Linked DNA regions of Pelodiscus sinensis. The protein of the gene in region 1 interacts with the protein of each later gene in a pairwise test. Links are inferred from orthologs where the notes say so. Each region holds a gene or a part of one and is shown in the gene's direction. Other genes may lie near its edges.

Evidence for each region.
Region 2: the proteins of HTT (region 1) and WDR91 interact in binary tests that used the Homo sapiens proteins (3 or more experiments, as listed by UniProt). The link is inferred for Pelodiscus sinensis from reciprocal best matches to the Homo sapiens genes HTT and WDR91.
Region 3: the proteins of HTT (region 1) and EZR interact in binary tests that used the Homo sapiens proteins (3 or more experiments, as listed by UniProt). The link is inferred for Pelodiscus sinensis from reciprocal best matches to the Homo sapiens genes HTT and EZR.
Region 4: the proteins of HTT (region 1) and AP2A2 interact in a two-hybrid assay, tested with the Homo sapiens proteins (2 studies listed by BioGRID and IntAct). The link is inferred for Pelodiscus sinensis from reciprocal best matches to the Homo sapiens genes HTT and AP2A2.

What each region holds. Positions count from the first base shown.
Region 1 is NC_134715.1:116,690,465-116,698,485, reverse strand, and holds the start of HTT (huntingtin), read left to right. Parts: upstream 1-5,003; 5' UTR 5,004-5,042; coding exon 5,043-5,143; intron 5,144-8,021.
Region 2 is NC_134711.1:85,552,480-85,559,481, forward strand, and holds the start of WDR91 (WD repeat-containing protein 91), read left to right. Parts: upstream 1-3,987; 5' UTR 3,988-4,084; coding exon 4,085-4,207; intron 4,208-7,002. Other genes in the region: STRA8 (stimulated by retinoic acid gene 8 protein homolog), read right to left, coding at 14-211, 2,749-2,895.
Region 3 is NC_134713.1:112,894,416-112,902,120, reverse strand, and holds the start of EZR (ezrin), read left to right. Parts: upstream 1-4,693; 5' UTR 4,694-4,850; intron 4,851-5,571; exon of another isoform or gene 5,572-5,605; 5' UTR 5,606-5,687; coding exon 5,688-5,699; intron 5,700-7,705. UniProt on the Homo sapiens protein: Probably involved in connections of major cytoskeletal structures to the plasma membrane. In epithelial cells, required for the formation of microvilli and membrane ruffles on the apical pole. Along with PLEKHG6, required for normal macropinocytosis.
Region 4 is NC_134714.1:119,009,206-119,016,436, reverse strand, and holds the start of AP2A2 (AP-2 complex subunit alpha-2), read left to right. Parts: upstream 1-4,229; 5' UTR 4,230-4,344; coding exon 4,345-4,411; intron 4,412-7,231. UniProt on the Homo sapiens protein: Component of the adaptor protein complex 2 (AP-2). Adaptor protein complexes function in protein transport via transport vesicles in different membrane traffic pathways.

The sequences.
Region 1 (8,021 bases):
TTTTCATTAGTTATTACTTTTCATTATTTTTGGATGTTTGTCTGGCAGGTTTTTTTTTGTAAATTTCAAATAAGATTCTCTACCTCTAACTACAACACTTCCTTCCTGTTCTGGCATTTATAATTTAGAACATTATACATTTTAACCTAAGTTTCACATTTAGTTTTACAAACCTCAATCTGATTTGATTTACTTATAGGAATTTGTTGTTTCAATTTGCATTTTATGTATATTGAGTGGTACATGTAATCAATACATGGCATATATTATATTCTAGCCAAACTCATATTTTCATCACTTAATACATACAAAATTCATAATGGTCCACATAGTCTGGGAATGGATAATGTATAATGGGATTATGTTGAAGGAAAAGATACCATTTTTCTTTGACGGAAAAGCTGAAAATTTTGGCATTCTTTTATTTTTGAATTCTTAAACATAATTCAGTTTTAAGGATTACATGCAATATGACTTTGACAAAATACCTGTTTCATTATAATGTCATACTACTATATATTACATCATAATGTTTCAACCATCACAGAATATTTTTTTAGTCAAATACAATAAACAATTCAAGCCAATCCTGTCTGAGCAATGAGTTGCTGAATGCTTAATTGATAAAATGAGGCTTCTTCATTCTACATTGTCGTAAACTTCAGAAAAGAGTGACAGGATTGATTAAAGGATTACAAATAATCTTATAGTAGACACATAGACTGAATACTTTGAATCTTAACAGAGACAAGGTTAAGGGACTTGACTACAGTCTATAGGTATCTCTCAACACGGGGTAGAAATATTGAATACATGTCTCTTCAATCTAGCTGAGAAAGGTATGACATGAGCAATAGCTGAAATATGAAGCTAAGTCAAATTGATGCTAGCATATATTTTAATAGTGAGACTAATTTAACTATTGGAGCAATTTCCCAGGGAACACAATTCAGTGTGCAACTGCAGTAAATTAACATAAATGACTTTCTACAATTATCTGTGCCTCTGAAAACCTGGCATCATAATGAAGTTAAATAATCAAGAATGGACAGGACTAAGGGTACGTCTACCCTGCAACACTTCCGAAACAACTAGCGCTATTCTGAAATAACTTAGTCTGCATCTACACAGCAGGCAGTTATTTTGGAATAGTGTCAAAATACTGTCAAAGTGGAGGACTTCTTACTCTGACTCCTGTAACCCTCATTGTAGAAGGAATAAGGAAAGTCAGAGGAAGAGTTCTCTATTTTGAAATAAGTGCTGTGTAAATGCTCCCAATTTCAAAATGAGCTATTGTGAAATAAAACTGACGTAGCTCAATTTGCGTATCTTATTTCAAGTTAAGCCTGGCAGTGTAGACACACCCTAAGAAAGAAAACTTTAATTCTTAACTTCAGATATAATTCTAGAAAGACTCCTTGGACAATCCTCAATCTTACGTTAAGCATCTTTTTCCGAGAAGATGGAAGCTTAATTTGTGTAGTATGAAAATCTATTTCAAAGTGTCTTTTCTTAGCAGGTGGAGCATATACTAGCCATATAACTTTCCTAGTCTATGCAAACTTCAGCACTTAGTTTTCCAAAAGCTGCATATATTTTGTTGCAGAGTATTTGTTACATTGATTAAATTTGCCTTACTTTTTCTAGCTGCTATAATGTGCATAATAAGGGGATTTCAGTTAAATGGGTTCAAGCAGCCAGTTATATTAAAACCAGCAGTTGAAACTGTGGAAAATTCAGTGGAACCCTACATTGATTTTTTTGATTTGCAAAAATTGCATTTATAATGACAGAAGTATTGACTTAAAAAGTAGTTTATAACAGTATGCTGCGAAATTAGTATTACTTTTTCACAAAAGAACAAAGGTACCCTTGGTACAATTATAGGAAGAAGAGGAGCCAGGTGCTTTTCTGTAAATCAGAGTACTTGGAACAAGTTTTATCTTCAGAAAGGCAAACATTTTCAATTCAGTGATGCTGAATATATACAAGTATGAATGATTCAAAGTAAGAGGTCTATATAGAATCATGATTCGATGTAGACTCACAGATTCTATAAAGATTCATATGAATCATACAATCATATGCAAAATGTCATGCTGGCATGAAACACAGTACTAAAGCCCCATTCTTAATATAACCCTATTTTAACTTTGACCGACATCTGTCTTAAAACTATGGCTTCGAAAACAGAAAAATGGGATCTAATTCAGATTAAATACTCTGCTTAGCAATGTATCACTGGTTCTTTTCAGTCTTTTAGCATGAGTTCTTGTAATGTCTCCTTTTAGCCAATGTCAATATCTTTGTTCTATAGTCCATGTGGTAATAGTGGAAAAATTAAGAAACCTTAATTGGTTTTTCCATTTCAACAGAATAAAAATCAAGAGGACGTGCTACTTGGAAAGTAGGTGTATACTAAGTGCACTTACTGGAAACTTGTATATTCTGTAAAACTATATTGAGTACTGATAGCACAAGTAGTGTTCTGGAGTGTAGAATGAAAGTTGTATAAAAATACTATTTGATCTTTGCAACCTGTTCAGTCTAAAGTAAAAAACTACTTTTAAGAAGTGTCTTTGAGCTTAAAGAATTTTTGTCGCTGTACTCAAAGAGAAGTCATAAACCTCATTGTCTTCCTACTTCGTTTATGTGAGTACCAGCTACCTGAACCCTTAGACAAGGAGACAAATGATAGCATTTGGCTGGTGCAGACTCAGAGGCATCGTCTTTTCTGTAGCAATGTCTTAGCTCAGCTTGTCTGATCCACCTGTAATTAGGAGAGTGTACCCAGATAATACTTTCAAGCAAGAAATGAAGGAAACTACTGCTGAAAACTGGATCTGAAAAAAGTGAAAGGATTTCTAGAGATATACATGGAAGAGCTCCATTCAAATTTTGTCACAGGTATTTTCCTTTAAAAGTGCAAGATGGAGCTCAGAGCTCTACTTACCCTGCTGTCCCTTTCCTCTGCATCCTGGTCTGTTTTTAAAACTTGGATCAACCTATCTAGTTATGTCACTCAAGGGTGTGAAAATTCATTTTTCAGAGACACAGGCAGCCTTCAGAGACACAGTTATGCTGCCTTAAGCCTTGTTGTTGATATCATTAGCTCAATGGAAGAATAATTCTATCAACCCAACTACTGCCTTGCCACAGGTGGATTTACCACAGCAATGGAAAACCCCTTCCAGTGTTGTAGCAAGTGTCTACACTACAGCACTATGGGAAAGTAGCTGCAACTCGTCACTAGTGCTTACAGGGTAGATTTACCCCATGAGGTGTATAGACGATAGGCCAGGGATGGGCAAAATACAACCTGTTGGCTGGATCTGGCCCATCTGCCACTTCTGTGTAGGCTGCCTTGGTTTCTGGCAATTAGGACCACAGCAGAGGATGGAGTCCAATTGCTGGTGCCCTGCGTGCTGCAAGGTGCGCAAGTGTGAAGGGCTGACTGGGGGATGCTAGCCTCAAGCTTGCCCCTTCTGCCTGAGGCCCTGCCCCCTTCTGAGTCCTGGAGTTAACTTCTCCCCTCCCCAGGAGTCTGGCAGCTGTGTAATACCCACTGGAGACTTTTTCTTCATTGAGTTTTATTTCTTCTTTTCACTTACTAAATGTAAGTTGTAAGTAAAAGTTTAGTATTAGTATTATTACAAATTTAACAAGTGTTCATAAAATAGTTTGCAATATCAATTGCCTTCTAAGAGAAGCTGTGGATAATTGTGTATTCAGTTAATTACTAAGTGCAATTTGTTGTATAAAAACATAATGGAGCCTTTTCATTAAAATAGTAGAACTTTGTGGCCTGTTTTTGCAGAGGGATCATTCCACAAATTAGTGCCCATTCCTGCCTTAGCCCTTGGATGCATGCATGTTGTTCAATTTTAAACCTACAGGGATGATGTCATTCAACTCAACCTTAGGATATGGGTGTATTACAGCAGCAAGTGTATGCCGCTAGAGTACTGTACCTTGTATGCTTCCTGGATCTATGGAAGTGGGTTTTTCTGAAGTTCTGAATTACATAATCCACTTCTGCAACAGGTAGCAGAGTCCTTCCACTGCTTTAACTCAACCTTACCCTTGCTCTAGACATATCTAAGTCTAACTTTCAGAGAACAAACTTATTTACGCCCTGAGCTCCATTTCATTCGCAAATAGGAGTGTTCACATCAGAATTTTATGGGCACTAGCTTCTTGTCTGTCATTAAGTCCCCTGTCATGTTCCTGACTATTAAAGGACAGACAACACCATGGGGCCTGAACCTAGTAGCAACGGAAATACAAGATCTGGGTGTAGATGGTCCCTTAGGTTGCTCTAAGTAGGGCATACCCCCAGCGGCCCTCGTGCAGTCTGCTGTGCGCTGAGGATCATGGGTTGTGGGAGCCCAAGGGAACGAAGCCAGCACCATGCGACCGGCGGACTCTGGCAGACCGGCCCAAGTTTGACATGAACCAAAGGGGCACTAGGACCCGACAGCGACTTTCGCGAGAGGAGGCGGGGCAGAACGGAGTGGTTGGGGGCGAGGGGAGTGCGGATGAATGTATGCCCTCTCAACCAAGTTTGTGTTTATCTGAAGGGTGACCCAGCCTCCCTCGCTAGTGGTGATTTGGCCAGTATTCCTGAGCTTCCTTTCTGATTGGTGGTTGAGGCTGTCACTCTTTAGTTTTCCAACCCCCTCCCTGAGGATAGGCCGGGTTCAGGGGCATGCGCGGGGACCTTTGCTCTCGGCCGGGCAGGGAGGGTTAGCGTGGGGGATGATGGGAGGTTTCCAAAATGGCGGTGAGGCGGTTTCGAAGTGATCGCAGACCCCTGCAGCGTCTCCTCCATTCATTGCAGTGACGAGCGGCGGCGCGTGCGGACCCCGGCGGCTGCAGACACGGCGGCGCGGCGGCCGGGGCGCGGCAAGCGGAGAGTTTCTGAGGCCCTAGGAGGGGGCAGTCCGTGCGCTGAGAGGGGGCAGGCTCCACGCTCCCGGGCGCTGCGAGGCGGCTCGGGGAGTCCGGTCCGGGCGCTGCGATTGCCTGGCCCCTGAGGGAACATGGCCACTATGGAGAAGCTGATGAAGGCCTTCGAGTCCCTCCGCTCCTTTCAGCAGCAGCAGGGTCCGGCTGCCATTCCCGAGGAGCCGCTCCAGAGAGTGTGAGTGTGCGGCCGCGGGGCGGCCAGGCTAGGTCGGGGGCAAACCTAGGAGGGGACCATAGAGCTTTCTTAGAAGCTGCCGCCCCAGCAGCGGGGGTGGAGTGGGCGGGGGAAGGGACGCCCGTGGGGGGGCCTGCCACTGGTGGGGCGGATGGGCCCTTGATGTTGTCTCTTGAGCTGACGGATGCGTGGCGGCGGGTTCCAAAGCAGTTGGGTTCCGTTACAGGAACCCAGCAAAAGGCTCTCACCAGAAAGAAAAGGTTTATTAACCTGCTCCGCAGTGAGGGTCGCTCCCCCGAGTAGAGCAGCAGCTTCTTTAGGCCGCTGCTATCTGCTACGTAGATATATACACACACATACATACACCTCGTGACAGCCAGGGAGCCTCTCGCATGCTCTAGCGAACTCCTGGAATAATAATAAATAGTAATTCACGTGTGTGCCCGCAAAGCAAGGCTGGTATTCTGTACTCAGCTGGCCTTTTCTCATTGGAAGAAGATAATTTAATAAAGTATCCTGGTAATTGGGTATCCAGAGTCTAGCATGTACTGAACTTTTATTTTTGAGGGGGAAAAAGAAGCTTTATGTGAAAGATCCTTGGTCGGTAGTTAGGTTTGTTTTTCTTAAAGCAGCAGTTCTGTTAAAACAGACAAATTATTATAGTAATTATGATGTATACTATAAAATGTGAACTATGAGACTGATATGGAGGAATGAATAACTTTAAAACAGCTAAAACAAAATACAGGACTATATAGCACTTGAAAGACTAACAAGATGATTTATTAGGTGATGAGCTTTCGTGGGCCAGACCCACTTCTTCAGATCAAATAGTGGAAGAAAGTAGTCACAACCATATATACCAAAGGATACAATTAAAAAAATGAACACATATGAAAAGGACAAATCAAATTTCAGAACAGAAGGGGAATGGGGAGGGGAAGGTAAATGTCTGTGAGCTAATGATATTAGAGGTGATAATTGGGGAAACTATCTTTGTAATGGGTAAGGTAACTAGATCCTTTGTTCAGACTCAGGTGTAAAGTGTCAAATTTTAGCATGAATGACAGTTCAGAGGATTCTCTTTCAAGTGCAGTCTAAAAGGCTTTTGAAGCAGGATGCAGGTAATTAAGTCGTTGAGACAATGTCCTTTCTGGTTGAAATGGTAAGAAACTGTTTTTCTTTGTGATCCTAATATCTGTTTTGTTGGCATTGATCCTTTGGCGAAGTGTCTGAGATGTTTGTCCAATGTACGTAGCAGATGGACGCTTTCGGCACATGATAGCATAAATTATATTTCTGGATGCACAGGAATATGTGTTCTTGATCTTATAACTCACTTGATTGGGTCCAATAATGGTATTGCAGAGTGAATATGTGGACAAAGCTGGCAATGGGGTTTGTTGCAAGGGAAGGTACCAGGGTTGGTATTAGTGAAGTATGTCCAGTTTAGTATCCTGTTCCAGTATGGGCTGTAGTTTATTGATAATGTGTTGGACAGGTTTAAGTTGGGGGCTGTAAGTAATGACAAGTGGTGTTCTATTGTTGGTTTTCTTGGGTCTGTCTTGAAGTAGATGGTTTCTAGTCTGGCTCTTTCAATGTGCTTTTTTATTTCTCCGGGTGGGTAGTTGAGGTTTATAAATGCTTGGTAGAGATCCTGAATTTTCTGGTCTCTGTCAGTGGGATTAGAGCAGATGCAGTTGTATCGAAGGGCTTGACTATAGATGATGGATCGTATGGTGTGTTCTGGATGGGTACCCTGGGTTGGAATTGCATCCCCAGAACTGTCAGCTGGCTGTGGCTTTGGGTGCTGGTCCATCCCCCAGCAGGACTCAGGCTCTCTTCTCTCCCCTTTCAGGCTTCAGTCATCTCCATGTCATTATCCCCACACACTTATTTTTTAATAAAAGTCCTGAATAGGTCCTGGGAAATAAACAAAAATTAATTAAAGCCCATAACCTGTCTGTGAATTTTACTAAAAATAAGTGTCAAATTCTTAACCTTAATGATGACTGTTCTGGACTCTTAACTATAATGCTTGGGTAGAGGATGAGTACAAGGAGCTGTTCAGTGCTACAGTGCTGTAGTAGCACAATCCTTGTGATTTTCTTTTTAAAGTCTTGATGGAGCAGGTGTAGAGGGCCCCAAATTAAAATCTTTATTGTCTAAATGCTGAATGTAGAAAACGGTGTTCTTCCTGATTCCCAGAGTATGAGGGAAAACGGAAGGGCTGTGGGTGAAGTGATTTTTCTGACATCTATGTAGTGAAATTATAGTTGGAGTTGGTTCCAGGATATTAGAGACAAAGTCGATGAAGTAATATCTTTTATTGAGTCACTTCTGTACACTAAAATATATAATCTCCCCGATCTGTCTTTCTGTTTTCTGACTTGCTGAATGTTACTGAACTGCCAGAAGGAAGTCTGCAGTCCTGGTGTACACCCTGATGTGGGACTAGTTAAACAGTTTCCTCTCATATTTGGAGAAAGTAGCAGTGAATGATTCCCTCCTCCCATTTTTATTTTTACAGGGAAGTGTTTAAGAAGAATAATGCTCATATTCCTGACCTGTCCTTGGCTGCTTTCTTATGTGGCAGTGGGATGATCCCAGTGTTTGTGTATCTGTTGTGCAGGTGCTTCTTACAATCTTGAGCAGGGGGATAGTAAGTGGACTCTGGGCTGAATGTGTTTCACCAAGGCTAGCCCCTGGCTGGCTGCCAGTCATTTGTTTACCTGCATATCTGCAGGCACAACTGCTTACAGCTTCCGTTGGCCTTGGTTCTCTGTTCCTGGCCTGTGAGAAGCAGTGATCTGCCCATACCCACAGTTCCTGATAAATGCAAAATAATGCATTGGAAAACAGTCACAACTATATGTAT
Region 2 (7,002 bases), on another chromosome or scaffold:
TTTTCTTCCATACCTTTGATGCTGAATTGTTGGACTGAGAATAAACAGTTTCCCGCAGGTTGTTGAAGAGTCCTGCCAATGTAGCCCGGTGTCGTGCCTGAGATAAGCGTCTTCTTGCCACCTGGGGCTCCAAATCTTGCAGATGTGTAAGGAACCCAGGAGTTACCCTGACACATGGGCTGCTACAGTCACCAGATGTCTCCATCAAAAGCTGCAACGGAATGGTTACATTTTACTAAACAAATAAATAGCATTTCAAAATAGAGTGAGTCTACAGTATGCGTGATGGGCAGATGAACAAGTAAAATTGAGACAACTGTTGAAGCAGAACAATCCAGCTCATTTCCAGCAGGTTATGAAGGAAATATTAAATCACTTTCTGTTTTCCCTATGAAAGCAAACTAACAATATGTACTATAACTTGATCTACTATTAGTGGTGGGCTAGATGTGCACTGCAGTTTGAAACACACGAAATTAAAGCAGATGGGGCAGTTATTTCTTGCCCTGCAATGATGTAGTTAATCAATGTGCTGAGTGCTCCAAATTCCCACTGAAATCACTAGATGGCACTGTTCTTTGTGACATTTTCAGCCAAGTGGGAATTCACAGTAAATTATGTTAGATGGGGATAGGTGAATAAGCAATAGAAGCAGACCTTCTAAAGTCACCTAAATTCCCTTTTCAGTTAAATGCTAGTAGTGAAGAAAAAAGGAAAATACTTACAGAAATTACATTTAACAGAAACAGAAATTACTTTTTTATAGTGTTACCTGCTTTTTTAAGGGCCCAAACTGCCATTGAATACACTGGGAAAACACCCATTGTGAGTTGGAACAGATCAGATGCTGGTAAAATAGTATAGTTAAAATTGAATTAGGGTGGTCAAAATAGTACTGACACCTAGGAAATTATATTTTAAGGTAATTGTTGGTTTCCCTATGGCATAAATATCAGATATATTGATTTTGTACTGTACTATAGAACGGTATCCATGATTTACTGTATCAATTTACTATTTGTGGTGTAAAAATCTGTATGACTTTCTCAATAATGGCAAATGCCAGAGAAATAAAATTTGAACGTGTAATAAATATTAAAACTTCACAATTACTTTTCCATACATTATTGATGGCCTTTACACGAGGATTTAGACACAGAAATAAGCATAGTAATAGAAATGTAGCCATGTTAGTCTGGTGTAGCTGAAGCAAAATACAGGACTATGTAGCACTTTAAAGACTAACAAGATGGTTTATTAGATGATGAGCTTTCGTGGGCCAGACCCACTTCCTCAGATCAAATAGTGGAAGAAAATAGTCACAACCATATATACCAAAGGATACAATTAAAAAAAAATGAACACATATGAAAAGGACAAATCACATTTCAGAACAGGAGGGCGATGCGGGGGGGGGGGGGGGGGAGGGGGGGGAGGAAGGAAGGTAAGTGTCTGTGAATTAATTAATTAAGGTAATTCACAGACACTTACCTTCCTTCCTTCCCCCCCCCCCCCCCGCATCGCCCTCCTGTTCTGAAATGTGATTTGTCCTTTTCATATGTGTTCATTTTTTTTAATTGTATTCTTTGGTATATATGGTTGTGACTATTTTCTTCCACTATTTGATCTGAGGAAGTGGGTCTGGCCCACGAAAGCTCATCATCTAATAAACCATCTTGTTAGTCTTTAAAGTGCTACATAGTCCTGTATTTTGCTTCAAATAAGCATACTGAGGGCATAACACTATCTCCAGAAAAAGTCTGAAAAAGCTTGCTGAAAATACCCCAGAAGCATGAAGCAGGTAATTTCATATGGCTCAATCCCACAATCTTTACACATGCAAAGCTACTATACTATTGGAAGTCATTGGAAGATTTCCCTCTCAAAATACTGCCAGACTGTATAAATAGCATCCTTTCTGAGCAGACTGTCAAGTATCAACTGCATCACATTTTCATATTCCTACATGTTCTGTTCCTAAAAAAACTCCTTCCATCTTTCACAATAATTTAAAATACTAGCAAAACAAATTATGTATATTGTAATTTTAAAATTTCCATTGATTCAGGGGAAACTGGCTTGCCCTCACATTTCACTGAAATGTTTGGATGAAGATACTAATTAGAATGTTGCTGACAATTTTGTTATTATCGCTCAAATGAGAGAGATTATTAATATTTATTTATTATTATTAATGGTCCCAGAAGTTCTATAATGGAACGAGAAAAAAAAAAAGATCAAACAGAGTTATCACTTTTAAAAGCCTGAATACGTCCTTCAGATCACTACAGAAAGAGACATTGTAAAGAATCATAGAAGAATTCATTAAAGTCTGACTTTCATATTATTTAAAATCATATAAACACAGATTAAGAGACCCGTTAGGAATCAGCAGCAACTTCTGCACCTTCAGAGCCCTGGCTCCCCTCCTCTATGACCTTTGCCCTTCCTTTCTGAGTCCTGCCCCACTGCGTATATAGATTTTGGCTTTCCCCCCATTTCTGTGGCTCTGGTCCTTTCCATGAACCTGCCCCCCTTTCCCCGTGGCTCAGTCCTTTCCTATGGGGCTCGCTACCCCGTCAGGATGAGCTCTGTTCCCCTTTTCTGTAGCTCCCCTTTCTAGGAGCTCGATCCCTTCCCTTTGAGCTCTGCCCCCCTTGCTACAGGCGCTGCCCCCTTTTGGGGAGCTCTACCCCTTCCCTGTTAACTCTGCTCCCCATTTCTATCCAGCTCTCTTCAATTACAGACAGTCCTCGAGGGGCTGGAGGCCTCTGGCGTCTCTGCGGAGCATCCCTCCGGCCCGACTGGCTCTAGCCCGCCCGTTCCCACGTCCCAGCCCCTGCCGCAGCTCCCCCAAAACAGCTCGCGTGTGCTGCCGCCACCGCCCAGCAACATCGCCGCACGTGGCAGGGAGCCAATCACAGCTCAGGGGGAGCCTCCAAAGGCCAATAGGAGAGCGCCGGGGACGGGCGGGAGAACGTTGGCGCTGTAGCCACTGCCTGAGAAGGCAACAAAAGCGCGGGAAAGGGCCGGGTGGTGGTAGGAGGAAGAGGTGCAGGGCGGGGGCAGGGCAGCGAGGAGTGGTGGGGTGACCCTGTAGGGCTGGGGGCGCCTCCCTCCATGCATCGCTGCACTTGTGCACTCAGGGCTGTACGAGTGTGAACTGGGCGAGGAGATTGAACACCCACGTGCTCCTATGTGCGGTATCAAAAGCCCCCTTCTGCCTTTCACGGGCATCCCAAGAATTAAAGGGCTGGTGCCTTATCCCTTCTTTCTGAGGGACCCGGTGTTCCGCCGAAGTGTGTGGCCGATGCCAGGGGAAGCCCAGGCTCCCTCCCACTGACAGTCGCACTGCGATCTTGCTGGGCTCCGGAGCGGGGTGCGGAACTCGCAATGAGCGCAGCAGGGAGTAGCGTGTTTTAAGACAGTGCGGTCTGCGAACACAGCCCTGCAAAGCCCGGCATGCAGCGTGGGGGCCCGCGGTGAGCCATGGGGAGCACGGCACGCCGGGCGCTGTAGTCTCTGCTAGTGACAGGGCCGGGAGGAGTTTGGAAAAGGAGGCCGCTCAGCTCCTGTCATTTTGCATCCTCTGTTCCGCAAGGCCCGGCAGGTGCCGAGTTTCTAAGCGCACCCGCCTGGCTTTGCGCTTTGGATACTGGAGTCGATGAACACGGGGCGGGTGCGCTTTAGTGAGCGGCATCCTCCTATCGTCAACGAGGCAGGAGCCGCGCTGCTGGAGGCAGCGAAGTGGCTCCGAGCACCGTGTGAATTCGGCCCGGCGGCGCTGTCCCGTGGGGCCGAGACGGGCGCAGAGCAAGGGCCGATGTAGCGCGCGGTTGTGTCCGGGGCCGGATTTCAGCAGGAATCAACCGCGCAGGGCAGCGGTCAGGGGACCGGCCTCTTCCCCGGTCCCGCCCCGCGCCCCCTGCGGGGGAAGGCAGCCAGGGGTGAGTTAGGGGGCGGGGCGCAGCGGGCGGGGGCGGGGCCACTCTCGGGGGGGCGGGGCCGCGTAGGCCGAGGCCGCCGGCTCGCTGCAGCGGGGCTGGCTCCTGGGCGCCGGGCCTGGCTGCCGGGGCGCGGGCCGATGGCGGCGGCGACTGAGCGCACGGACGAGCTGGTGCGGGAGTATCTGCTCTTCCGCGGCTTCACCGGCGCCTTGAAGCAGCTGGATGCGGAGATCAAGGCGGACAGGGAGAAGGGCTTCCGGGTGAGGCCGCCTGGCGGGCCGGGGTGGGAAGGCTGAAGCCGGTGCCTGGGGGTGCGGTGCTGGTGGGGGGCTGGAAGGGAGGGAATGAGGTTGCTGGCGGGGGCTGAAGTGGGGGACGGGAAAGGGGTTGGTACCTGGGAGTGGGGTGGGATGGAGTGGGGGGAGGAATGTGCTGGGGGGCAGGGGGAGAGCCCCTAGCTCCTGAATGCGGGACACCCAACACACTCTGTGCTGGACCCTCTGGGTTTGGTGTGGGGTTAGTTGCTTTGTAATAAATAAGTGTTGTAGGCTTAGTCATTTGTGCTCTGTAATGAGCACATGAGATGGGTGTGGGGTGCGGGCATGTGAGGGACGAGGGGATGGGCACAGCTGAGTTCCTTGTGTAACAGTCGGGCCAGGCTATTGACTGTTTGGTGCTGTTGTGGGATTGAGGTACCTGGGGATTTTAGTGTTGGGAGGGCATTATCTCTGTTTAGAGTTTCCAGCATCTGTTCCTGTATCTTTGTGCTTCCCTGAGATGCTACAGCTGCCTAATGAGATCCCTAGTGGACTTAGTGGAGTCTTCTACTTTTCTTTACTCCTTGGTAGGAGAGACTCTCTGTTTAAGGAGTAACTTCTGTAACTGTGTTGCTGATTGTAGTGGAAATGTTTCCTTAAAGAGGGGTGACCAAAACAGGCCACTTCACCTTTAACGGTGTTAATTAATATGTGTTAATTACTTATGCTAAATTCTGTTCCAGCTATGCATTTAGTAGTGACACTCTTGAGTATGTGTACACTAGCACTTCTGTTGCTGTAACTTATGTTGCTCAGGGTTGTGATAAAAACAACCCCCTGAATGACATGTTACACTAACAGAAGTGCTGGTGTGGACAGTGCTGTGTCAGCCAGAGATGCTCTCCTGCCAACTTAGCTAGCACCACTCGTTGGAGGTTGTGGGGAGAGCTCTCTCCCATTGGCATAGACTGGCTACATGGGAGACCTTACAGGAGTGCAGCTGCATTGGTACAGCGGTGCTGCCAGGGTTGCTAGTGCAGACATAGCCTGAGTATGTTTCCCAGAGGCGAAGAAGAGCTCTGTGTAAGCTCAAAAGCTTTTGTTTGGTTTGGTCTTCACTACCAATTTATGTTGGTATAACTGTGTCACTCAGTGGCATAATTATACCAAACTAATCCCGGTGTAGACAGCACTATGTGAACAAGCTACTCTAGGGAGGTGGAGGTCATATGCTGATAGGAGAAGCACTTCCATTGGCATCTTCTGTAAGCACTACAGAGGCAACACAGCACTGAAAGTGTGGACAAAGCAATATATGTTAGTCCAGTAACAGACAGTACATCACCCACACCATCTCTCTAGTCCCCTAAAAAAGGAGGGTATTGCAATTGCAATGTACCCTGAAAGTTGCTGGATTCTAGTTTAGCCTTACTTCCTCTGGAAGCTTATTCCTACATAGCTTATTTCTCTCATCTGATAATGCTATCTCCAGCTACCATGTGTGTCAATTGGGGTTGTGTAAACTCTCTTGTTCTAGAGAGGAGCAACTGTTAGCAGGTCAGTGGAGGAAATAAGGTTGTTTATGTGCCGAGGTCCGACCTTTGCAGAGCTTTAAAGACCAAGGCTTTGAACGGCAACAGGAGTGAATTGGGAGCCAGAGGTGGGATCAGAGGATGAAACTTACAAGCTAGTGGTTGTCTGTCTCGCTGAGGAGGTGGGCAGCCACATTTTGTCCCTCCTGTGGCTTCTTCATTATTGACACATTAATTCTGAGACACAATAATTTACAGTAACCTAGACTAGAGGTGTAAGATTTATGGATTGCCGTTGCCATTTGTCATGAACATAGGGCAGAGTTTCCTAGAAAGCTGTGGACGTCTGTCTGTATTGCAGAGCATGAACCCTATGCAGAATGCAATATTCTGTGAAAGCAGCTATAAGAAATGCAGTTGTTATTATGATCCTTATATTGCAATTGAAAGAAAATCTGCAGTTCCTAATAAATGCTTTGTAATCTACATAATTTAATTTGCATGCAGGTAGTACATATATGCCCCCCTTCCACCCGTCACTTTATCATCTGTTTATGAACTAACTGCTAGCTAGCTCATAGCTTCAAAGTGAGCTGTAGTTGAATATGGTATTAATATGACAAAGGATATAGCATTGGAATGGACTTCCTGGATCAGTGAGTCCAGTCCCTATTGTAGGCAACCTCATCATGTAAGGGCAGAAAGATCTGGAGGGGAATCAACAACTTTGACTTAAGCCACTCTTGTTCATGAGCTTTTAACAGATTATTTTATATGAACAATTTGGAAGCTTTAAGCATTAGATAGACACTATATATACTTATATAGAATTATACAGAACTTATGATCTCTGAAAACAAAATATTGGATTCAGTCTCACTATGATCCACAGGATTCATTTTCTGTGAATTCCAGTGAGCGCATCTTTGTTTGCCCAAGGAATAAATGATACTGTAACCTTGTTCGGAGCCTATATCTAGATATTTTATAGATGGCAAACTTTCTCTGCCACCAACTGCACAGCCATGTATAATAATCTTATTGAATAAAATGAAAACCTCCTGCAGTATATCTGAAATCCAAGCATAAGGCCCAGAAAGTCACTGATTTGCAAAAAAGGTGCAAAAAATAAAGTGATAATATCTGATGGTGAAAAGTAAACAAGATTTTAAGCAGTTTCAATTTATTGTTTTTGTAACCAGCATAGAATCTCTTTTTTTTTTTTCTGAGTCTCATGTTGGCCATCAGAAATTGGCACACTGAAAT
Region 3 (7,705 bases), on another chromosome or scaffold:
GACCACAAGTTGAATATGAGTCAACAGTGTGATGCTGTTGCAAAAAAAGCAAATATGATTCTAGGTTGTATCAACAGGTGTGTTGTAAGCAAAACTCGTGAAGTCATTCTGCCGCTCTACTCTGCACTAGTTAGGCCTCAGCTGGAGTACTGTGTCCAGTTCTGGGTGCCACATTTCAAGAAAGATGTGGAGAAATTGGAAAGGGTACAGAGAAGAGCGACAAGAATGATTAAAGGTTTAGAGAACATGACCTATGAAGCCAGGCTTCATGAACTGGGCTTGTTTAGTTTGGAAAAAAGAAGATTAAGGGGGGACATGATAGCGGTTTTCAAATATCTAAAAGGGTGTCACAAGGAGGAAGGAGAAAATTTGTTCCTCTTGGTTTCTGAGGACAGGACAAGGAGTAATGGGCTTAAAGTGCAGCAGGGGAGGTTTAGATTGGACATTAGGAAAAAATTCCTAACTGTCAGGGTGGTCAAATATTGGAATAAATTGCCAAGGGAGGTGGTGGAATCTCCCTCTCTGGAGATATTTAAGAACAGGTTAGATAGACATCTGTCAGGGATGGTGTAGGTGGAGCTTGGTCCTGCCTTGAGGGCGGGGGGCTGGACTCGATGACCTCTTGAGGTCCCTTCCAGTCCTATTATTCTATGATTCTATGATATTAGGGCCTCCCTGAGACCATACAATTGTGGGTCATGAAACCTCACCTGGGCATGATGGATGCTGCCATGAAACTAACAGATCAGTATTCAGAGGCAGACTTTCCCCAAAAGGATGGTCAACCATATAAGGGTCCAGAGCAGGGAGGATGACTGAAGAACCCAACGCAGGAACAGGCATAGACAGGTAGAAGGAAATTCCAAGGAGTTCCAGCTGAGGCGTCACATTTATTTGCTACCAATGTGGGCAGCCTGGACACAAGAAATGGGGTTGCCCATACATGGATTGTAGCTTTGCCAAGTTTTGTGGCTGAGCCAGAGCTAAAGGGAAGAAAAAGGGCAAAAATTAACCTCCATTTTAGTGATGGTAGGGAGGAAACCTCAGAGAGGCTTATGGATACAGCCACTGCTTGCTCTCTGGTCCAGAGGGAGCTCGTAAAGCCTCACTGGATGATTCCAGGAGCAACTATGGACATAACGGTGTGTCCCTAGGGATAAGTGGCATGGGTGTACAGCCTTTGGCCTGCAGTGCTATACACTGTTCTTATGGAGGGAATACTGTACAAGCTGGGATAGGTGCACAGTAAGCTTTGAAGGAGCTGCCTGCTGCTTTATCCACAGAAGCATATTTGCATGTGAAAAACGGGGGAACTGAGGAGCAGGTGCATAGTACCACTGAAACTTCATAATCAAAACTCAAAAGAAAGGCCTCCAAGATTAATATAGGGGTTATTTTTATTTTGCCTTCTGGTTTCTAAGCCTTTGGGATGCACTTGAGTTACGTTTTCAGGCTTTTTTCTGTACTCATGAGACCTAGAAACATTGAATAGAAACAAAAACTGAGATTATCAGATCATAGTGTTCTGACCCAGAAGGGACCACCAGATCATGTAGCCTGACCTGCTGTACAACACAGACAACCACCACTACCATTACCCACACATTAAACCCAGCAACCAAAATTAGACCCAGGTATTGCAGCCAAACCCAAATATTACATATAACCATGTCTCCTGTGGCTGGGGCTTTCAGAAAAGCAGAACAGATTAAGAGAACATAAGAATGACCATACGAGGCCAGACTGAACGGCCATCTAGCCCTGTATCCTGTCTTCCAAAAGTGACCAATGCCAAGTGCCTCTGAGGAAAGGAACAGAGTGGATAATCATCAAGTAATCCATCCCTTGTCACTTGATAAAACAGAGAGAGAGAAATATTGCTTCTGGGGTTGTGAAACTTTCTGCCTCTTTGACTAGTCTATCGTCAAGCGCGGAAGGAATAGATTGCTAGTGAATAAACTGTTGCAGTATACCCCAGGGTCTCATGCTGCCAAAGCAGTCTAGAAAGTTACTGTATCACCTGAAATCCAGGATAGAGAGGTACTCCAGCAATTCACCAGGTATGCAGAGTTACAACACAACTCAGGTTTGGTACAGCTACCCCTCCCTCATGAAGGGAGATGTCCTGGGACAAACCTGGGAGGTGCTGCAGAACTACACACCAGTTCCTGACACCATTCATTATTAAAATTTGTTGCCTGTTGTGTGAGTTTGACAGGGAGGAGGAGCAAGCAGTGACCCTGTTTGGGAGTAGCTGGGTACAGGAGTAGAGCACTAAGCCCTACTAAGCCCTCATCAGGGAGGTGCTGATGAGTCACCAGGAAAGTTGCTGGCAGTGAGTAGTTGTTGGACTATGAAGAGGATGTTGGGTGGCAGTGGAGTGAGGGACTGGGGGTAAGTGGGGAATGTTGGGGGCTATGGCCAGTAGGCCAAAGGTGTTGGACAGCGAGCAGGATGTACACCAGGCAACTGGGATGCATGAGTGCTGTCAGAATAAGTAGAGTCTACTAGACAACCTCGACCAACTTGGTCTGATCATCCAGCTAAATTGGATTTATTGAGCATATCAGGGAATCTTGCCCTTATGTTAAGTTTGCAGAGAATATTGATGTTGTAAAACTGGTATTTTACATGACCCATCCATGGGCTTTTTACTAACTGTATTGTGCTTTTGATATGCCTTGCTACTTAAAGTCTGTCACATAAATACTGAAACAAAAGACAGGACTATGTAGCACTTTAAAGACTAACAAGATGGTTTATTAGGTGATGAGCTTTCGTGGGCCAGACCCACTTCCTCAGATCAAATAGTGGAAGAAAATTGTCACAACCGTATATATCAAAGGATACAATTTAAAAAAATGAACACATATGAAAAGTGCTATATAGTTTTTAAAGTGCTACATAGTCCTGTTTTTTGTTTCAGCTACACCAGACTAACACGGCTACATTTCTATCACATAAATACTGAGTTACAGATAGCTAATGTTGATATTTTATATATCTATATCTTCATCTATATTATTAGAAGATTCACCTTGTGTTGCTCCGGTCCTTTGGAGGCCTGAGGATATAGAGGTGCAGGGGTTGAGGGCTCAGGGCAAGGAGCTCAGACCAGGAGGCTGAGAGGTTGGGGGGCTCACTGGGTCTGGTCTGTTGGTGGCAGTGAGGGTGATACTGCTCTAAATACAGCTCCTCCCGGGACAGGTGGGGCTGGCCAGACCCCTGGTGGATCCTCATGGAGTGTGTGTGCTGGGGATGGGCTGGTGGCCCCCCCAAGTGGCTCCTTGCAGGGGGGTGGGGACAGGGCTGTGCTGGCCAGCAGCACCCAAGCAGCTCCTCAGGGGGAGGAGAGCAGGACTGAGCAGACTGACTAGCCCCCCTGCCAGCTCATCTTGGGGGGGAAGCGAGGCTGGGCTGCCCAGTGCCCCCACAGTGGCTCCTTGCAGGAGGGGAATGGGATTGGAACTGGGTTGCCTGTTGGCTCCTTGTAGGGGTGGGGCTGGACTGCCCAGCTCCCCTCAGTGGCTTCTCATAGGGGTTGGAGCCAGGCCTACTGGCTGGTGGGATTTCTGAGCCCCTCCCCCCCCATCCGGTGTTATAGCAGAGAGCTGGGCGGGGGGGGGGGCACTTATCTGGGTCAGTGGCTGGCCACTCTCTTCCTGGTGCAGCAATCTCCCTGTGGTCACTCTGCAATATAACTGTCCCCTGTGCTCCCTGCGGTCATGGTGGAGCATAACTGTCCCTCCTCTCAGACCCCTCCCTTTCCATGTTACAGAAAACAATCGAATTCCAAGCACATCCCCATTGTCCTGGCAAAACCAAGCCTTGACTTGCTTTAAGTTAGGATACCAAATTTGGTGGTCCTGACTCTAATCATTTTGGAGGAGTCCTCTCAGATAGATGCACAAAATCTCTAAAATATATAAACAGAGACACTAGTGTGTGAAGTCTCATAACGGATGGTTCGCAGACTTTCCATTAGATAAAGTTTATTGGTAAAAATTAGTGACAGAATAATTAATCACCAATATCACTTCCGCAGAGTTCCATGCATTCTCAAATTTAGCACTACATCCCTGACTATATCAGTGACATTACACATACAAATGAGCTAGCCAAAGCAAGTGTCAGAAAGTTTTCTTAAAGTGTGAAAAAATCTGGCTGCACAGTAATCAAACCACTTCCATCCATGAAAATGTGAAGACTTTCAAAAAGACAACCAAATTCCCCCCTTTTATAGTAAGCATGACACTTTTCAGCCCCAAAGGATAAAGGAGGGTAAAAAACGGAGACAAATATAAGCGCACCTCCAGAAGTGCTTGCAATGCAACTGCTTCCTCCCATTACCTGAAGGGAGAGGAGCACAGCACACGGAGGAAAAGGGCTGGTGGGAAGGAGAATTTTTGTCCAAATCCCAGTAGCCCTAAAACCAAACAAAGCCAAGTCTGGGTAAGTTCCCCAGGCACGTGTGTTGCTTGTCACTGGAGGCTCGTTCCTTTGCTTTGCTTCTTTCCCTTACGCTGGCGCAAAGAACGCGCGTCCCTGGCTGCTCCCTGGCATGCCCCGCGGTGTTTGCCCAGGCTCTCCAGGGGGAAGATGGGCGCCAGGCTGACAAGGCGCCGGGAGGGCGCTCTGCATTCGCGTGTGGACGCGGGGAGCCGGGCTCGGGGCTGTCTACACAGGGGAAGGCGCGGCTCGGGGGAGGCGGGGCCCGCTCGGCCATATTGCAGCAGTGGGAGCGGCGGGGCGGGGTCAGAGGCGCGCACAGGGAGCCCAACCCACCCTCCGGCCGCTGCCAGTCCAGTCCGGTCCCGGGTGTTGCCCAGTCGCCGCAGGGAGACAGCCGGGTAAGGGGTCTCCCAGCCGGAGCCGGGGGAGCACGGGGTGGCGCAGGCAACAGGTGTTGCGGGGCTTAGCGCGCGTCTCCTGCCGCCGCTCGGTCTCCCCGCCTGCCTGGGGCTCCCGGGGCCAGGTGCTGCCTGCAGAGCGGGAGCAGGCGAGCGAGCCCTGCCGGGTCGTGGTGTCTGCGGACCGTAGGCTAGAGCCCGCCTGAGGCTTGGCCGGGCTCCCTCCCGGTCCTTGTTTTAACTTTCAGGGCAAAGGGAGGCAGCTGCTGGGCCCCTCGGGCGGGATTCTTCTGCCTGCCCTCCCCGGGAGTCGGGGCAAGCTGCTTTGTGAGGGAGGGTCTCGGTGCTTCTCTCCGACCTGCTGGCAGGCAGGCGTCGGGGGAGCGGTCCCTGTGTTGCAAACCAAGGGCTGACAATGGTTCCAGTTTCCGCCCCCTCCTCCTTTCCCAGGTTATTAATCTTATACCGCTTAGGAAAGGTGTTGAAATTGTACTTAGGCTTATGGGTGTGTCTGGCCCAATGACCTTCTCTGGTTGCAGATGGATTTTTTTTTCCCCCACTGGGCGAGGTCACTTATGTGGTTTTTTTTTTTAAATAAAATAAAACCAGTGGAGTTCCCTAGTAATTGTGGGTCACGTATGAATCATCTTTGCTGCTCTCCCTCGTTATTTAAGAAACCGAACTGAGATTTTAAGCTTCTTTTACTTTACCTCCTCCTCAGTAAAAGAGAACTTTTTCTACTCACCTGTTACCAGATTTACGAAAAAGAAAAAAGATCTTCAAGCCACTGCATGACCATTTGTTTTTGGAATAACAGAACCGCTTTAAGATCTGAAAATGCCCAAACCGGTGAGTGATACGTTTTATGTCTTGTATCTTGTGGTGTTTAGTATACATTTTTATGTTTTTATATTAGTAACTTACTTTTTTTAGGTGACTATTTCCTTCTAATAATTTTCACAAACCAATCACTCTATAGTATATCTGGTCTCAGTTCTCATCATCAAAGGAAATCTGAGCAGCCCCTTCAAAAGATGAGCCTCGGAGCTTAAATGTGTAACAGTTAGACACTAAAAAGAATGGATGGAATAATTGAGACACTGGTTTATAACCATCTATAGTGCCACTTTCCTCTCAGCTATCTCCCTCTGTCTATTTTTTCCCATGACTAGAGGGGTGCTAATGGTCTCTTTCATCTTGAATGGTCCTGTGAAATAGCTATTAATTATTTTTGCTAAACTGTCTGTTCCACCTTGTAATTAACTGCAACACCCTGAGTGTATTTCCTAGATCCAAAGAAGAGCTCTGTTTAAGCGGAGAAGCTTGAATATCTTACCAACAGAAGTTGATTCAAGAAAATATATTCAAGAAAATATATTACCTCACCTACCTTGTTTTTTTTCTTTCTATGTTTAGAAGGATTATATAAATTAATACATCGTAATTTGAGTCCTCCATGCCAGTTCCAAATTGTTAGAAGAGCAAAGCAGCATGATGAACCCATATATCCATCCAACTTAAAAATCAAATGTTGGGTGGGGGCAGGTGGAAGTGAGGATGTACTTAAATGACACACACACAATGTTATAATTCTAACAATCAGGAATAGAAGTTTGATCCTCCAATTAATTTAAATGTTAAATTATTTGTTTAAACATCTTTAATTTTAAATTTTTATACTAGTATTTATATACCTTAATTCAACTATGCAAAACTCTACTACCCATGAGTAAGTAACTGTTTTCAGTGGGCAAAAATATAATTAATTTTGTTTGTTTATGGTTAACATGGATGAGCAGAAGTTACACCTTAGCTGGTAAATTTTTTGTATTTTTTCAGCATTGCTTTAAAGCTGTGTATATACATGCATTCCTTCATAAAAGAGCTAATATATAGCCTGTGGATTGATAAGTTTCTGAGGCTATGTCTGTTTTTTAGTGACTTACATGTTTTGGCTTTTTTTTTTTTAAAAAAAAATTCATTTGCTATTGAAAATAATCATTCCAAAAGAGAAGAATTATACTTTGTAAAGCATAGAAATGATTCTTTCTAAATGCTGTCAGTATGAAGCCATCAGAACCAAAGAATTTTCTGGTTCCACCACAATTTATATCTGAAAATGGGTTTAGTAATGGACTTAGACTGGGGATGGGAGGCTTGATAAAAATGATACTGTGCTCTTTGGAATGATATTGAAACTAATATGGGAAATTAAAATTCACTGAGCGGGTCATTTCTAGGACAAGCATGCCAAGGTTTTCCAAAGGTGCTGGGTGTTAAAACTCATCGGAACTGCAGGTGCTCAGCATCTCTGAAAATCAGTGCTTTGTTGTGTTAGGATAACTGTAAAACGCTCTTTCTAGGCTAAAAATCAGAAGTTTTTAAAAATCAAACACATTTTATGTTGTGTTTTAAAACCTTTATATGTTGGTAGAAAAATACTAATCCTTAAGTAACTGAAGAGAGAGGTATTTTATGTTCCCAAATGCAACTTCTAAGGTTAGCAGTTAACAAAGTTGCAACTACAGTATCTTGTTTTATCATATGGGGTAGGTACAGCATGTGTCTCTCTAACAGAGTCCTTTATCTCTGTTTCTGTCAAGTCAAAGTCAACATTAATATAAGCGTTCTTCTCTAACAGCTCACAGGAAATGCTATATAGGATTTTATTAAGAGGCCTGATTTTTAGGTAGAAAACTTTTTTTTTTCTGGGCAGTTGTGATTTTTTTTTTTAAATGCTGTTTCCAACATTGCTACAAATTCATGGAAAACCTGTTGCTATTTAGGCATGTACCAAATAAAAAAATTAATTCATTCAGGAGACTAAAGGCCTAATCAAAAGCTCATTGAGTTCA
Region 4 (7,231 bases), on another chromosome or scaffold:
ATACCCAATTTCCTTACTTGTCTTTTGCATAAAAGTAGAGTGTAGACAGTGCAACTGCATAATGTGTCCCAGTTATTAGACTGAAGCTGTGTATTGGGAGATATCAGAAATGTCAGTTAATTGAGCTTCCTGATTAATTGAGTGCTGGATAACAGAGCTTTTACTGTATTTGTTTACAGGATTCCCATAACAACCCATGTTTCACCATGGGACACTGGATGCTCTAGTCATTTGGATTATTTCTAAACCTCCACAAGTACTTGAATATTTCTCTTTTTTTTTTTACACCTGACTCTGGAAGGCTTTGACACTTTCAAATTCTGTTTACTTCTGTGGGATTGAGGGCTATTTATTTTGCTGGGTCGGACATTGATGGAATGTTAAGAAAGTTCAAGATCATTCTGATAAGGAATTGTGAAGTTTTAAGGCTTACATGATACGAAACAAATCCCTAGACACGTATTATAAGTGTGAGAAATGCAGTGATATTTTCCCGACTCCAAAGGAGGCTGTTAGAGGGAAAACCAAAAACTACTAAAACCAAGCAAGAAGCCATCTTGATCCAGACCAGTAACCACAGGAGACCAAGCCATTGCTCTTGCAAAAAAGAAAGAGACTATAACACTAAGCTACCCTCTGCTAGGTTCTTGACATATAGGTATACCTTTAACCTTACTCATCTTACTCCAGACATGCGAAAAATGTTTTTATTACAAACTGCAATACATGGAATTCTAAAAGCTCCAACACTGTTAAAAACAACATAAAAACCCCCACCTTGGTTCCACATATATTCAGTTCAAAGTGTAATTTACATAAGTCTGTTTCCCCAAAGAACCACACAATGACAAAGCCTTTATTCTATTGCCCAGTTCTGTTTCAACTTCCCATTCCCTGCCAGACACACATCCTCTTCTATTCACATTGATTGTGTAGCTGAAGTTGAAGTAACTTAACTCGGCTTTTGGCGCTATCCACACTTCAGGAAGTCGAAGGGAGAACACTAGCCCTTCAACTTCCCTTACTCCTTATGGAAGCAGGACTACCAGCATCAACCAAAGTGCTCCTTTCAGTTTGAATTAGTGTGTCTTCACTAGACCTACTAATTTGAACCCTAGAAGATCGACAGTGGTAGCTTTGATCTTCTCTGTAATGTATGCATGCCCTTACTGACATCTTTCATAGAGTGAGAAAAAAGCAGGCTTTCCTATTGCTTTTTCTGCCACTCCTGAATATCTCTGTAATAAAGCCACACATCTGTGCTACTTTCCCAAGCAAAGGGGTTGTTTTCCTGCCAGCCCAGGAATGAGTCTGACACTTTATCACAAAGCAAATTATGGCTTTTTAATTATAACCACAGCAAATATATTTAACTGAATTAGACTAACAGTAGTAGCAACAATAAGAAAACAAAATAACAGCAGAAATTAATAGGGTTAGAACAGTTAGCAGATCCTTATTTATAAGCAACATATAGGCCATTTCAGTCTTAGATTCAGCCTTCATATTTAATCGCACCTCAACTGAATTCAGCCTGTTGAGTTGAAATCCTGCAACATGATGTGCATGACAGAGCCCTGTTAAAATAAATTGGATTCTGTGCAGGCTTGGGATCCACTTGCATACAACAAATTTCAGGATCATGACTTGGATTCTCTCAGGAACGTAAATTGCCACATACTGTCACCACAGTTTTTAGAGCTCTACACACCACATTTTTGTCTCCAGAAGAAATGTTTCCACTGTAATTTTACAACAAGATAACTACCATGCTATAGTTATCTCACTGGGAGAAAACCACCTTTTTGGCCATGAAGACAAAACCTTAGGCTCATCCTGATTTTAGGCTAATGCCTCAGATTCAGTGTATTTGGCAACAAGAAAAGCAATGAGTTTAGTCAGTCTTATTATTCCAGTAACACATCAATGCTACAGTTAGAATATGCTCTCTATTATGTAAAACTCCTTAAATCTATTAGGTCTTGGTAATAGATAAGCAAACTGGATTATTTTTCAAATGGAGGAGAAAGAGCAAGTTCTGACCTCTGTCTAGAGGATGTAAATGATGGATCAGGATAGAGCATAATAATTATTATTCTTCCTACTATTCCTAGAGCTAGACCAAATCTCAGGTCTAGACATGTTAATTCAGGTGTATGGATAGGCATAAAGATCATCAGGAGAATCTCATGATTGTCATGCTAGACATGAGATCTTCAGAAGGTGTTTGAGGGATGAATGGCCTGGATATTGCAATGTTCCATGATGGTGGTTTACATGACCAGAACCTTCCTTACCCACCTGCCTCTTTTTATCCATGTTCTGTGGCTCTGCTTCCTCCAGAGACGATTTAGTTAACTTAAAAATGAAAAAGCCTGCCAGGTCTATTAGCAGAACACCGAACCTGTGAAAGAGCCATTCAAGTGGCAATGAAGACTTTTAACAAGCATTTGCCACACCCGGGTATATACTGCCAGTTTCTGAATTTACTGTGGGCTCATCTAGACTACATTCCTCTGTCAAAAGAGGAATGTAAATGAGCCCGATCGAAAGTGCAAATGAAGCGTGGATTTAAATATCCCACGCTTCATTTGCATATTCGTGTACGATCACTGTTTCACAAAAGGATGTTTCGGAACTGAAACCGCAGTCTAGACACAGATCTTTTGAAAAACCTCTGTTTTGAAAGAACCGGTACTCCTCATTTTTTCAGGAGTATGGGTTCTTTTGAAAAAGGGTTTGTTTTTTTTGAAAGAACCACGTCTAGACTGTGGTTTCACTTTTGAAACACCCTTTTTCGAAACAGCGATCGGACGCGAATATGCAAAGGAAGTGTGGGATATTTAAATCCATGCTTCATTTGCACTTTTGATTGGGCTCATTTACATTCCTCTTTCGACAGAGGAATGTAGTCTAGACGAGCCCTGTGTTAGGACCTTAGTTTAAATTTTGCTTTAAAATATTTCATTAGTGGATTGCTGAAGATTATAAAATCCCACCTCTAAAAAAATCATCTCCCCCCCTCCCACCCCGGGGCTGCCATTGTGCATAGGGACAACAGTTTAATTGTACTGCATAGGGCAAAATGCATTGATTTTCTTTCAGCTAGCAAGGTTCTGGTCAGATAAACAGATTAATATTTTCAATATTAACAAAATAACAAATGCATTTGATGAGAAGTGGGTTGTTATGATGTTTTTCAAATGTCAGAACTGTGATTTACAGATTTAAAAGGTTTAAGGATTTCTGATACTGTCAAAACCTCAAACTCACTCAGCCTAATCGTCAAATGTATTGTGCCCCTTCATATCCATGGCTTTGGAAGTACAGTATGATGTGTGGGCTGACAGGAATGATTTTTTTGTTTTATTTTGATGAAATTAAAACACCTAATATTCTGCTGTTACAAACTAAATGATGCTATTGTGCTTTTCAGGTGTAGGAACTGAGAGAGCACACAGCAAAACTACAACAGATGATAACAATGAAGAAGGATGACGTTAAAGTTAAGATGCTAAATTGAGCCCTGGAGAGTTCAGTTCAATTTCAAGCTTTGTTTCCAACATCTTGAGTGACTTTGGACAAGTCACTTAATCCCTCAGTTCCCTGTCTGTGAAATTGAGACAGTGTTTCTTCCATCTTCTTTTCCTCCACCATTTCCCTGTCTTGTCTGTTTAGATTATAAGCAGCTTGGAGCAGGAACTAACATCTCTTGCTGTGTGCACATAAAATATTGTGACCTGCCTCCCAGCACTGGTTGGGCACTCTAGTTACTGCCATAATGGAAACATGTAATAAGTAAATAATAACATAACAGTAATAATAATAAATACTGATGCAAAGGCCAATGTGGACCACACAACGCTGTCCAGCGGGGGCTAGGAAGGTGAATTCCCGGGTCTGGTACCAGCAAGACAAGGTAAGGTAATATCTGTTATGAATTAGAAGACCAGTGATGATGAAAGGGACAAGTTTCCAGCCACAGAGCGCTGCCCTTCAGCGCTGGATACCGCTCGCAGGTGATCAGGTACCGCTGTGGCGCTCCAGTGTCCGGACCTTGCAATAAGCTACCCTCACCTAGAGAGGTGGCAGGAGGGGCTGTGGGTATTTAGCCACCTAACCCGTTTGCCTCCGTGGCTCACCTTCCCCCTCTCTACGCAGCAGGGGGCGCTGCAGCTCCCCTTCTCACTGCCCCCCCCCCCTCCCCGTCAGACCTTGTTTTGCCTGCTGGGCGGTCCCGCGCCTGCGCAGCCGGGCGGCGGCTGAAGAGCCGGAGCGCAGAGGCGGCGGCGGTTGTAGCGGTCCCGTGGTGCTGACGGCTCCGGGCTCAGCTGCTGGGCCAAGATGCCGGCCGTGTCGAAGGGAGACGGGATGCGGGGCCTGGCGGTCTTCATCTCCGACATCCGGAACTGTGAGTGCGGCGGGGGGGTTCCGGTGGCTGCTCGGGGGAGGGGCTAGCGGGAGCTGCCCTAGGCGGGGGGGCGATGATTGGGGGAATCTGCCCAAGGGGGGGGGGCGATTCGGAAGCGGCTGTTGGGGGGGGGGGAGACTAGTAGGGGCTGCCATTGGGGGAGGGGCTGCCCTAGGCGGGGGGGGGTCATTGGGGGAGGGGCTGCCCTAGGCGGGGGGGGTCACTGGGGGAGGGGCTGCCCTAGGCGGGGGGGGTCATTGGCGGAGGGGCTGCTCTAGGCGGGGGTATAATGGTTGGGGGCTGTTGGGGGGAAAACTAGCGGGAGCTGCCCTGGGAGGGTGATTTGGGAGCTGCCCTAGGCGGGGGTATCATGGGGAGGCTGCTGGGGGGGCACTAGCGGGGGGTCATCTGGGGGGAGTAGGGACTGTCCTAGGTGGGGGGAGGAGGAGAGATTTGGGAGGAGCTTCTGGGGCACTAATGGGAGCTGCCCTAGGAGCAGGGGGTGATCTGGGTGGAGTTGTGGCTGCCTTAGCAAGAGGGCGATTTGGGAGAGGTTGCTTTGGGCACTAGCAGGGGGCTGTCCCATGGGGGGCGGCTGTGCTGAAGAGGGGAGGCAGATTGCAGGGGGTGTTCATGCTGGGAGGGCTTGGCTTGTATGGGGAAGAGTGTTGTGTGGTCAGGGGATAAACTACTCTCTGTCGGTGGGTTTGGAGGGTTTCTATGATGCTAGTGTGTCTATTTCAGTGGGTGTCTGGCCTGTCCTCTCCTCCTCCCTGCCACATGCAGGCTTGTTTTGAGGTCTCCAAGGTCTGCTATGTCCTCCGACTTCTTTCTTAGTGACTTGTGCTGTGTGAGACAATCTCATTCGGGTGATGGTTAGTACCTGTACTGAGTTATTGGTTGTGTGAGTAAAATGTGGGATTGGGTGGTGGTGGGGGGGTCACTTCAGCTCTTATGCTGTCATTCAGCCCATGGAAAGGAGTGTTCAGTGTGTTGTGGAGAGAGTCTTTGGCCTTGTTTGAGAGCAAAGGTTGTGGTAGTGGAATTCAAGTCTATCTTTCATTTGGTTTAAACAGGTACAGCCAAACAGCCTCTGTGGACATATTTAAATCTGTTTTATTTTAATGTTATGCAATTTAGCCTAATTCAGAATATTACTGAATTAAGCTAAATCAAATCAGTTGTAGGCCAGTTTAATTTTGCCTGCAAAGGGTGTTTTTTGCCAGTCTAAATTGATTTAAAAAAAATCTATTTTAGTTAAATGTAACATGCAGGCAGAGCTTTTATCCCTGATCTTTGGGAAGATCCAGGGTGAGGTGAAAAGAGTCATGAAAAGAAAACTGTGCCTTGGGGTGATGGCAAGGGAGGGTGTGAGTGAGTGAGACACACACACATGCACACATACTCTGCTGTGTCTGATAAAGAATTCAGACTTTTCTTTAACATGCACCATCTGCCCCCACCTTTTCCCTTTATGTGACCTTGGGCATTGGATTGAAGCACAGAGGTAACTCTTTTCAGAATGTTTGCAATCAAACATAGCATGTTCATGAGAACTCCTAACTACAAAATTAGTCATTGTTAGTCAGATATCAATCAGTCTTCCAATGTGTTAAGCTGAAGTGTTAATAACTTAGGTAAAACTTTCCTTATAAGAAATTCCCTCACAATGAAAGTGTTACTTTAATATTCCTCCATGATACTGATGAACTAATGGGATCATGGAAGCAGTTTATCTTCTTTTGACTATAGCTAATTTGCTTACAGAAACATTAGGAATTGTGGCTTGTGCTACATATATGCAGACTAGAGGAGAGGCAATATGATATTTCACAATCAGAGCTGCATAAAACCATAATTCCATGACTGGAAGAAATTAAACTTTGCATGTGGTAAGTGAATATGACCAAAACTCTAGGGATCCATGATAACTAAAAAGCTGGTGCTCATTTCTGCAGCTGAAATGATTCTCTTCATGTTCCATATTGATAAACTGAATCTAAAATACTAAGGAAAACCCACCCACTTCATATTTTTGAGACAAAATGCAATGAGTGGTAATGGAGGCAAGGGATGGAAGAATGGCTCAGTTGGAGTGTGGGTAAGATGAAAATAGGAGAAACATGGTCATTAAGTAAGATTGGATGTATAGTAGCAATGTTAGATATTGGGTAATTGAATAGTTGAGTAACCACACAAATTCTTATCAGTTACTTGACTATTCTATAGACCCCAGGGGGCAGGGTCAGCAGCCAGTGTTCTCTGGCCTCACTCCCAGGGAGCACCCTGCTGCTGCCTACCTATCAGAGGCAGTAGCATGGGGTTCCAGGCAGGAACTGGTCAGCGAGGAGAGCCACTTTAAAAACTAGCTCCCTGCCACCCTGTGCTGCTGCCTCTGACTCCGAGGCAGTAGCATGTCTATGGGGGGTCCGAGCTTCCCTTGGACAGAGGTTGCTCTGTCTCCCACGGAGCAGCCTCTGTTCATGGTGAGCCTGGGCCCATCGCAGGCAGAGGCTGCTCTGGCACCAGCCCCTGTCCATGGGGAGCTTGGGCCCGCCATGGACAGAGGCTGCTTTGTGGCAGCCTCTTCCCCTCCCCCCTGCACTGCTGCTTCTGACATGCAGTAACGTGGGTTAGGGCAGGTGGCACTGCAGAGCTGGTGCTGGGAGAACCAGCTTTTAAACCGGCTCTCCCCCCTCTTGCTGCCTCAGAGGTTGCAAGGGCAGGGGCAAATGCATGTAGTCAACAAGATTAACCAATAAGCCTAGGCTTATTGGTTAATCATATAGTTGACTACACATTGGCATCCCTAATGTAGAG